2 separate regions of the Mus musculus genome follow, and region 2 is reported to be linked to region 1. The links are microRNA targets in miRTarBase. Many come from high-throughput screens and were not tested one by one. Region 1 holds a microRNA gene; the other region holds the end of a gene's coding sequence.
Evidence for each region. The annotated mature microRNA mmu-miR-5134-5p reads UUGGCAGAAAGGGCAGCUGUG and lies in region 1 at 2,116-2,136, shown strand. An mRNA with a match to its seed (bases 2 to 7 or 8) in the 3' UTR can be bound and repressed. Matches are read on the target gene's strand: a 7mer-m8 pairs with bases 2 to 8, a 7mer-A1 pairs with bases 2 to 7 and ends in A, and an 8mer does both.

Region 2: miRTarBase lists Tmx4 as a target of mmu-miR-5134-5p. Seed matches in the 3' UTR shown: 7mer-A1 at 1,063-1,069, 7mer-A1 at 1,748-1,754, 7mer-m8 at 2,043-2,049, 7mer-m8 at 2,438-2,444 and 7mer-m8 at 3,444-3,450.

Annotation. Positions count from the first base shown.
Region 1 is chr17:24,231,639-24,236,710 of GRCm38, reverse strand. Mir5134 (microRNA 5134) reads left to right here and starts at 2,107; the gene lies at 2,107-2,184. It overlaps Ccnf (cyclin F), which reads left to right. Exons shown (of 17, transcript NM_007634.4): 10 at 2,177-2,341; 11 at 4,803-4,926.
Region 2 is chr2:134,593,828-134,598,899 of GRCm38, reverse strand. It overlaps Tmx4 (thioredoxin-related transmembrane protein 4), which reads left to right. Exons shown (of 8, transcript NM_029148.1): 8 at 35-4,399. The coding sequence ends at 375. Among named protein-coding and RNA genes, the nearest start is that of Hao1, 42 kb to the right of the region's middle.

The DNA.
Region 1 (5,072 bases):
CAACAGCTGGAGTTAACAGTTGGTCACCACACACAGCAGCTGGAATTCACAGTTGGTCACCACACACAGCTGGCACTTTCATGGGTTCTGGATCCAAATGCCAGTGCTTGTACTTGTTCAGCAAATACTTAACCATCTTCCCAGTCCTGTTGTAGCTTAGACTAGCCCTGAATTTCTAGTTATCCTACTTTAGCCTCCTGCATTGTTCTGAGAGTACAGGTGTAAGCCACCAAAGTCTTTAAAGCGGAAAAGCATGCTAAATTGTTCAAATCATCATTATGAAATGATGAGACTTATCACTCCGATTTCTGAAGCTGAAATACAACTTTTGGTTTTTGGTTTTTGTTTTGTTTTTTGGATGGAAGAGGATCTAGATTTTTGAGCCCAGCACCTTATTCATGATGAATTGCCTCTAACCCACAACCCCTATAAATATAACCTTTTCTTTACAGCTCTCTTTATAATCAGTATATTTTCTGCCACTCAGTGACTAGAGGTCAGACCTAGGGAGCTGGTGAACCCCTCCTCACCCCTATCCCAGCCATCCCATCCCTTGGGTTAGCTACTGTGATACCCAGCACAACTGTCTATTCCAGGCTTCAAACGTTAGTGATAACACAATAAATTGCAGAGTGTGTTTGAGGGTACCTAGAATTAGGGACATGTGAATGGTGTTTTAAGCTTTCATCTGAAATTTCAAGTAAAATTTTGGTTTATGATGGGAAACCTCTGGCCCCTTGCAAGCACTGCTTGGAACATGAACTATGTTTAGTAAATGCTTTTTTTTTTTTTTTTTTTTTTTAAATCATTGTCCTGGGGCCATGGAGGTGGCCTCAGTGAGTAATTTGCTCGATGCACAAGAATGGTGACTTGAGTTTGGTACCCAGTACTGGAGGTCTGAGGGAGTCGCATGTGCCTATAATCCTGATACTGAGGAAGTGGAGATGAGTGGGTTCCAGAGGTTCTGTGCGCAGCCATCCTAGTACTATTGGGAAGCCCCAGGTTGATGCATGCCTTTAATCCAACTCTTGATAGCCCAATAATCTGATTTCTAAAAACAGATCACTGGGGCCAGTAAGATGGCTCAGCAGGTGGAGGTGATTGCTGCCAACCCTGAAACCCTGAGTTCAGTTCCCAGGACCTATGTCGTGGAAGAAGAGAACCAACACCCAAAGGTTGTCCTCTGTCTCCCACATCCCTGTCATACATGCAACCGCACATACTTACCACCCATACCCACAAAATAAGTGTAATGATGACTTTTAAAAAGAAGTCGGATTATTAAGCTTGTTAAGTATGTCTGCCTAGAGGAACTTCCTAGTCTGTTCTGCTTTAAACCTCAGCCCCTGACCCTTCTTGGGGGGTGGGGGTGGGGAGTAGACCTTTCCTGTCCTGTTCCTCGCCACCTCAGCCCGACTCCCTATCCCTCCTTCGACTTATGACGATGAGTCTGAGCTGAGGCAAAGCCTGCCCCTTCTGTCTCCCCAAGAGTCCACATCATTGCGCCTTTTCTCTCTTGCTTCCTGTTGATGTAACCCCTCAGCTTTAGACAAGGATCTCTTGCCCGAGAAGCATTGGGCTTACTAGGGTGTCCTTACGAGATTCTCCTGGGGTTTTTTATGGCCTCGTTCCCCAGGTTTTTAACTCCCTGGTAGAGAGAGACTTTTGCCGGCCTTCTTGTGTCTGGGCATCCATCTGGGGTGCTGGATGAGGGAACACCAGCGCAGGCACTGAGTGGCTCTTACTTTAAGTGGCATTTCTGGCTCTTTGATCCTCTGCAGAACATTGTCCCGAGGGCCCAGACAGTGCTTGATGATGCAGAGCAGCCGAAACCCTCTGTCTGGTTCTGAGAGCTGTGATCTGCTCCCAGCCCTGTTGTGTTGCCTGTTTGGTACCCACTGCCTATGAGCAGGGATTGAGATCACCCAGTGCTTTGGTGGCTGCGGGCTGACTCGGATTTGTGAACACTGGGGATGTGCAGGCTTCGGGGCCTGGGCACAGGCTGCAGAGATTGTGAACCCACCAGCCAGCCTCCTGGGAGTTGCTGTGGGGGACTCGGAGTTGGTAAACCAGTGGTTTCAAAATGATGAGGCCACTTGCTCAAGCTGAACAGACTTGGCAGAAAGGGCAGCTGTGATGCTTGTCCTAGTTTTCACGGGTGGCCCTCTTTCTGCAGGTACATTCTAATCGACTGGTTGGTGGAAGTTGCCACAATGAAGGACTTTACAAGCCTGTGTCTTCACCTGACTGTGGAGTGTGTAGACCGGTACCTGCGAAGGAGGCTGGTCCCCAGATACAAGCTGCAGCTCCTGGGTATTGCCTGCATGGTCATCTGTACCCGGTGAGGAGCCTTGACCAACGGGCAGGGCTGAGGTGCTCATGTGCTGGTCCCCCCAGATGCAGAGGCCACCGTCCTCTGAGTCCTAGCTGCTGATTTTTAAGGGAAATAACTCTTAAGTGCCTTACCTGGCTCAACTGTGTTAATAATTTCAATCCCAGTATCCTTTGCGAGGAAGGGATGGCAGAGTTGACCCTTTGTATGTCGATTATACCTCTTTGGGGGGTCTGTATCCCCCACACAGTCTTGGGACCCAGAGCCTGGACTTGGGAAGGCCTAAGCTAGACCACACTTTCCCATGATCCAAAGGATGCCAGTTGCTAAGAAGAGTTGGTTGTAGCTGTTGGCTTGTGCCTTCCTCCTCAGTCATCAGAGATAAACTGTCACTGAGATGGAATCCTCCAGTCTACCACCAAAGCCCCCAACCATCAGAGCCTGCCACAGGATGTCACATGTCACACAGCAGCCTGTTCCCTGGCAGCTCTAGCTTTTCAAATAGGTTCAGTTTACATTTTTTTTTTCTCAAGCTGTGCTTAGATTTGCCTCTGGAAGCGATGTGGAAGGCGCTTTTCAAAATGTAGTTTGCATTTTCTTACTCTTCTAAACTTGATGGCCCCAGCTTGGTCTGCTGTTTCCTAGGACACACATTTCACATCCCTGCTAACTCCTTCCTAGGCTCGCTTGTGTACTAGGGTTCCTATCTCTGTGAAAAAGCCCCATGATCAAAAGCAGCTTGGTGAGGAAAGTCAGGGCAGGAGCTTGAGCAGGGAGGGAGCCTGGAGGTAAGAACTCAGATCAGAGTCCATGGAGGGGTGCCACATAGTGGCTTGCTCGTGTCTTGCTGGGCCTTCTTTCTTATAGTGCCCAGAGCCATCAGCCCAGGGACCGCACCACCCACAGTGAGCTGAGCCCTCCCATAGCAATCTAGTAAGATTTCTTCCCATGTGACTCTTGGATCAACCTGACTCATATAGGAACCTGTGGGCAGAACATCCGGCCCACTGGGATGAAGGTCATGAAGGAGACCCGCTCACATTTGCTCCCCTCTGAGCTCCATGAGTGGTTCTTTTTCCTGTCACCGCCAAAGCTCCCAAGCCCACCTTCCTTACCAGGTTAGCCATGTGGGCATATATATCCAGCCACAGTAGACACTATAGCACCTTCCAGTATCCATGTCCCAGCTAGAGGAAGCATGGTCATGTGACCACAGGAGGAAGACTGTGGATTTCAGGGGGGAACATCTGACCTTACCGCATCCCGGGTCTTCTTCAGATAGGCTCTGTGACCCGAATCTCACATCCCAGGTCTTCTCAGCAGTCAGCAAGCTGGTGAGGCTGCTGCCTCCGCTGACCCTTCTGCCAAGGCTGAGCAGCAGTCCACATTCGCTGGGGAGGGTGCTTGTGGGACCACTGGAACAGAGTGTTTCTGATTGTTAGTACTGTGGACAGCAGAGAACAGGCTGCCCCTGCCTCAGAAACAGTCAGGATTCCTGTGGCCAAACGCTGGGAGGGCTGTGTGTAGCCCACCTACACCGGGAGGGCTGTGTGTAGCCCTCCTACACCGGGAGGGCTGTGTGTAGCCCTCCTACACCGGGAGGGCTGTGTGTAGCCCTCCTACACCGGGAGGGCTGTGTGTAGCCCTCCTACACCGGGAGGGCTGTGTGTAGCCCTCCTACACCGGGAGGGCTGTGTGTAGCCCTCCACCGTGCTCCAGCAGCTCACCTATCTTTATGTTTGCATTCTTTGTACTCAGATGCAGTCAAGGGGATAGGACAGGAGCTGAAGCGGTTGTTTAGAAGCTTGGCGAGTCTGCACCTGGCTTTGAACCACAGCACAGCCAAACAAACCTTAAAAAAAAAAAGCCCTCATCTATAAAGTCATAAAGAGCTAAATTAGTGTCGCTCATGGGTCGGGTCTTTTTTGTTTTTTGGATGAAAATCAGGACATGACAGCTCCTCGGTGGTTATAAAGGAGAGAACAGCTAGAGTAGACTGTGCCATGAGAGAAGAAGGAAAAGGAGACGCAGAGAGGAAGAGGGGAGCTGGACGGAGGGGTGCCGGGCCAAGAGAACAGATACCAACATGGCTGGGTTATGTAGGGGTCAGAGCTGCTGGAAGGGAAGGCCAGCCCCTGGACTGTAAAAGGTTCAGGGTAGGGTTGGGGCAGGAGTGCTGGGAGGAGCTATAGGTATTCAGTGAGACTTGTCCCAGGCTTCTTCGGGACCCGACACTTGTACATTCTTGTCTGTGCTCTGTAGCCATGCCTCTCCTGCTGGGTCTGAGGATCCTGTTCTGACCCCCTCTTTGTAGCCCCTGGATGCTCTTTGATAGTCAGAAGCAAGTGGATTCGCTCCATAGCTTCCTTTTGCCACCTGAGTCTGGAGCCATCCCATCATGCTTTTGCCTTGAGGCTTTCTGAGCTATGGCCCCTCAGCTCAGGCCTGAGAGCCCATCTCTACGTTCCAGGTTCATCAGCAAAGAGATTCTGACGATTAGAGAGGCTGTGTGGCTCACAGACAACACGTATAAATACGAGGACTTGGTGCGCGTGATGGGGGAGATCATTTCCGCCCTGGAAGGGAAGATTCGGGTAAGTAGGGCTTGACTTTCTCCTTTGAGCAAAAGTTTCTTCTGTTTGAGGTCACGGGGGGGGGGGGGGGGGCGGGCGGGGGGCGGGGTGGCTGTTGCGGGAAGCTGAGGCCATTGAGCGCTACTGCTGTGGAGAAAGCACCAGGA
Region 2 (5,072 bases), not on the chromosome of region 1:
TTTTGTTTTTTTGTTTTTTCTTTTCCTTCCATAGAGCAGGAGCAGAGTACTGGAGAGGCTCAAGGAGCTGAGCAGCTACAGGATGCAGAGGAAGAAAAGGATGACTCAAATGAAGAAGAAAACAAAGACAGTCTTGTGGATGATGAGGAAGAGAAAGAGGACATTGGAGATGAGGATGAAGGAGAAGAAGATGAGGAAGAGGACAACTTGGCAGGCATCATGGCTGAGGAGAGAAGTGACACCAACGAGCGAGCAGTTGTGAAGGAGGGTAGTGTGTCCCCAAAGGAGGACGGAGCTCACCCAGCTGACACTCAGGACGTGGTGGAAGACGCCCTGAGGCAGCGCAAGAGTCAGAATGCCAACAAGGGATCTTAGGTTACATTATGACATTTCTAAAAATACAGGCCAAAAAAGAAGTCTGTTTCCCTCTGGTCTGCAGTTTAAGCCAAATCCTTAGTTGTTTGTTTTGTTTTTCTGAATGAGCAGTGTTCACTTTTAGAAGATGATCTCTGGCCCCGTGGTTACATGGTAGTAAGCCTCAGTGTCGTAAGAGAGGTGTAGCACTTAGCCATCATAGTGTTAGTACCTTTGTGGGGTCTTGAAGAGAACAAGTTGATGTGCTTGGGAGCCAAAGAGTAAATCAGAGGACTTCTCTGCAGTTCTCATTAGCACCTTTAGAAGTGAGGCTGCTGCTTGATAAAGTGACAGCAAAACCAGAGCATCCTTAAAGTGCAGGAAGTCTTTGCCGTCGTTGTTAAGCATGTGTTTTAGTCAGGTCAGAAACATCAGGTACCACAGCTCCCCAGCACTCTCTTGAGGCTAGAAATTGTGGAGACCGGGGTATAGATAGAACTTCAGCATGGAGCTAGGGAGTCATCTGAGCTCTTTTGGTCTCTCGTCTTTTGTTTCTTACCTTTCATCTCTATGACTTTTCCACCTTGCACTTGCAGACTCCCATGGTTCACAGCTGCTCTGTAGTGAGAAGAGCCGGCAGCAGTGATCTGCATGGATTACCCTTACTGGATGTAAAACTTGAGGGAACCACAGTTGAGGAGGCTAAGACTGCCAAGTGTCTCAAAGACATATGCTGTACTCTCTGAAAATTCAAAAGGCAGTGGCAGTTTCATAGGACAGGTACAAGCAACATCTTTTTTGGGTCCTATAGTTACAGGATAACTTCTTCAAGAGTTTCTCCAGCCACATCCTTTGTTTTTCTGAACCCAGAGTGCTCTAAGCCTTGTCACTGTAAGGTATTTTTATAAAGCTGACTTCAGGTCTGTGGTGGTTAGTTTCCATCTCAAGAAACCTCTCTGGAACCACTTTAATAACAACTGAAAAGGCATGTCGGCTTTGCTTTTAGTGATGTGCTTTTGGTGAAAAAACAAATTGATGAAAGTCAATTTCAGTAGGTAAAAGATTTTATTTGTTTCTATCTCCCTTGATCCTCTGGAGAATTGTGTGATTATAAATCTCTCCCTGCTCAATCCAATATCAGTATCAAGGAACCCAGATTCCTTATTAAATAAAAAAAAATCTCTATCTCCTCTCTTACCCTCTCAAGTCTGAGAATAAATCCATAAAATTAGATTCTAGCTATATGAAGGATGACTAAATTCAATCTTATTCCCCCTTGGGTTGAGTCAGAATAATGAGTACAGGTTTGTGAAACTCAAAATGTTTCATCATTTTAAAAAGGGGTATGTAGTGTATTTCTCTGGCTGCTTAGATAACGTTTTCTTTGCATTAGCTGCCAACAGGAGGGTCATTGTTAGTGGAGGTTCAGAATCTGCCTTCCTGTACTGCACAAGGCTGCTACAAACCTTGCACAAAGAAAGATTTTATTGTGACAATCCATTCTTTATGAATGTTTTTGTTTCATCTTTCTAACTTAGTTAACTGTCAGTTCAAGGCTGAGGCCATCACAGAACTGGAGACCTTACTGCCCTTCCATGTTTCTGCCCTTCTGATACATCCTTACTCAAAAGTGTCATGGTTCTGTGGTACTTTTCATCTTCCTAATAGAGCTGAGCTGCACCTTCTCTTCTGCCAGTATATTTCCTTCCTTCCTTCCCTTGTAATCCTTCCTTGATGCATGGAGTGTTTAAGCAATAGTAAATCCAAGTTCAGAGTGGTGGGAAAGGGACGACTTGCATCTCTGTTCTGTGAAGTACCCTCCTCCAAATCGACATACTGGGTTTTAATGGGATATTTGACAAGAGGGAAAGCTTGAAGGATTACAGTCTGCCTTGGCTTTGATAAATGTTTTAAAACCAGGTTCCATTTGGACCACAAATACTACCTAATAATATAATAAGATAATATATTTCCTTTCTTTTTTTTTTTTTTTTCCTGAGATAGGGTTTCTCTGTGTAGCCCTGGCTGTCCTGGAACTCACTCTGTAGACCAGGTTGGCCTCGAACTCAGAAATCTGCCTGCCTCTGCCACCCAGGGGCTGGGATTAAAGCCGTGCACCACCACCACCACCCGCATTATATTTCCTTTCTTAATACTTAAAAGATATTGGAAGCTGGAAGAAAAAGTCATGGAGAAGGGGGTCTAGTCCACTAAAATTATATTTATTTGTAGGAATCATTTTTTTTCCTGGCTTTTCTGTTTTTAACATCCTGGCAAAAATTGGGTTTCTAGTAAATAGTCCAGGACCTTAATTTCTTTCCATATGAAGCCTTAAGGTTTATTTTCAATACTTTGTTCATATAAAATTAAAGGAATAAACAACTTAAGATTAGATAAACATTTAATACATTTTTGTGTACATAATAAATTTAATCCAGAAGTGAAGTGCATGAAAATGTGATTTTCTAAAACAAAAACCATGCTTCCCTTCCATTGCCATACCTGCTATTTAATTGTAGATTGCTATTTTCTGGATGTTAAAATCTGGTGAATGAGATAGCAATTGTGGAATGAGGGTGTATAGTGCTTTATGCACAGATGGATAGAGAAAGGTGCCTTGTTCTTCATTGGAATATCTGAAAATTCCATTACCTCTTTTTATTTTTTTCTTAACCCTTCACCTCCTTAACCATGCTGAACCACACTGACTTGCTTAGAATCCCATGGGAGCGATGCACAGGCAGTTCACTTTTCTGTTGTTGTTATTGTTTGGTTTTGAAGGCTAATCATGGAACATGGAAGAGATGTCTCATTCACTACATAGGCCATTGTGCTGTGTGGCAGTCACTGCAGTCTCATCCTGTACATAGGATCTGTACCTGTTATTTATAATAACTAGTGCAATGGAAGGCAAACAAGCTTGACACAGATCAGCTTTGGACAGCTGAAAAGCTACACTTTGACCTTTTAGGGCCAACTCCTGGCTGATAATTAAGATATTGCCATGTGGTTTGAGTATATGTAAGCTTGAATAAGTGCACTGTGTAACATCTTTTGGGGAGGAGATTAAAATGCTAGTTAAGGGAATATCTGCCATGTGGCTTTTGCGAGTTTGGAAACAATGGAGGTCAAAGGGAAGTTTTAAAGAATTGTAAAGGGTGAAAGATATTTCAGCATTAAAATCCTAAGCATGAAGTGAGGGAAAGAGAGAGAGAATGGAGCTTTTGCTGGTGTGTACAGGTTTTCTGTGTTCTTCCTCTTAGTGTCCTGCTGTTATTCCTGCCAGTATTGTACATTTGTGATTGACTAGCCTGTCAAATCATTCAACTGTTTGGAAAGTATTTGTGTAAATCTTTGTGCCAACAAGAACGCTCTCAGTGTTGTGTCTCTTTACCTCATTGACTTGATCCTTGTGAGATTGTAGCTTCTGACAGAAGCCAAGGTGGAGTCTCATGAAACCTGCTAGGTCAGTTCTTTGAGCAGCTACCCAAAGCAGGAGACTCAACTGAGAAACCTTGGACAGCTTCAGCCTAGCATGTTGACCTCAGAGGCTTATTCTCTAAAGTTTCGTGTAGACTGTGATGTTCACCTGTGGCTTTGACTCATTTCTAATGTGGTTTAATTTTATTTGTCTTTGGAAAGCTTTGTAGAAATGCAATTTTTATACTAATGACACTGTTCATTTGTGAGTCAGTATATTATAAAATGGTGTGTTTTTTTGTAATAGTTTTGATTGTTTAGCCCAGTGTATTTATTTTCCATTACCTATGTATTCTGTGCTCTCAAATAGATGTGTAGCAATTGAAATGAGAAATCAGTTCATCATTTCAAGTACTACATTGCCTGCATTACAAATTCTCTGATCACAGAATTGTACATAACCCTGAGCCTATGTACTGCCATTTGATTGTCAGGTTCCATTTGTGTCAAAACCTAAAGATAGTGATGACCAAGTGAAACAGAGTGGTGTATTGCTTTTTCATATGAATATTTTCACATAAAAGCATTTGTGAAAGCAGTTGAAAATATTACTTTGTTAAAAAAAGAATTTTCTTCTGTGTTTATTCTCTGAGTGTTCATTCTCCACTTTTTGTACTTGGACTTGGTAAAATCCATGCAGTGTGCCCAAGGTTAATGCAAGGGTTTCTGAACACCACAGCCCATTGTCCTATCTGTATGAGCTCACTGCAGTTGCCCTGGTCAGGCTCGTGCATTTACTTAGTGACTTTGCTACTTCTCCAAGATTGCTGGCCTTCCACAGTCTCCTACGACTTAGAGAAGACTATCTCAACTTACCTGTTCCCACCTCTGTAGCAATAAAAGAGCCAAAAAGGCAAGGTGGCTCCTTTGAACACACTTCACACTGATGTAATGGAGATTTGATTTATTCCTTTTGAAAGATAGTAGTAAGCTGTTTGGTAAAAGAAAAAATGCTATTAAGTTCAATTTTACCCAGTTTCTTTACCAAAGTAGAGGTAAGAATTCTGTCTGTGTGAATGACTCTTGGTGAAAATTCTTCACTAATCTACCTCTCAGGTAAGTTAGTATAATCTCTAAGTATAGTAAGTGGGATTCTCTTTAATCCTGCTAATTTAACATTAGTTGCCCTTTGGAAAATCTTTTGCCATTAGAATGTAGAGTGTTTTAGTGTCACTGGTGGGGCCCTTTCCTGGAATTGAATGGTAGAGACCATATGATAGATGCAGAAAATATCAGTG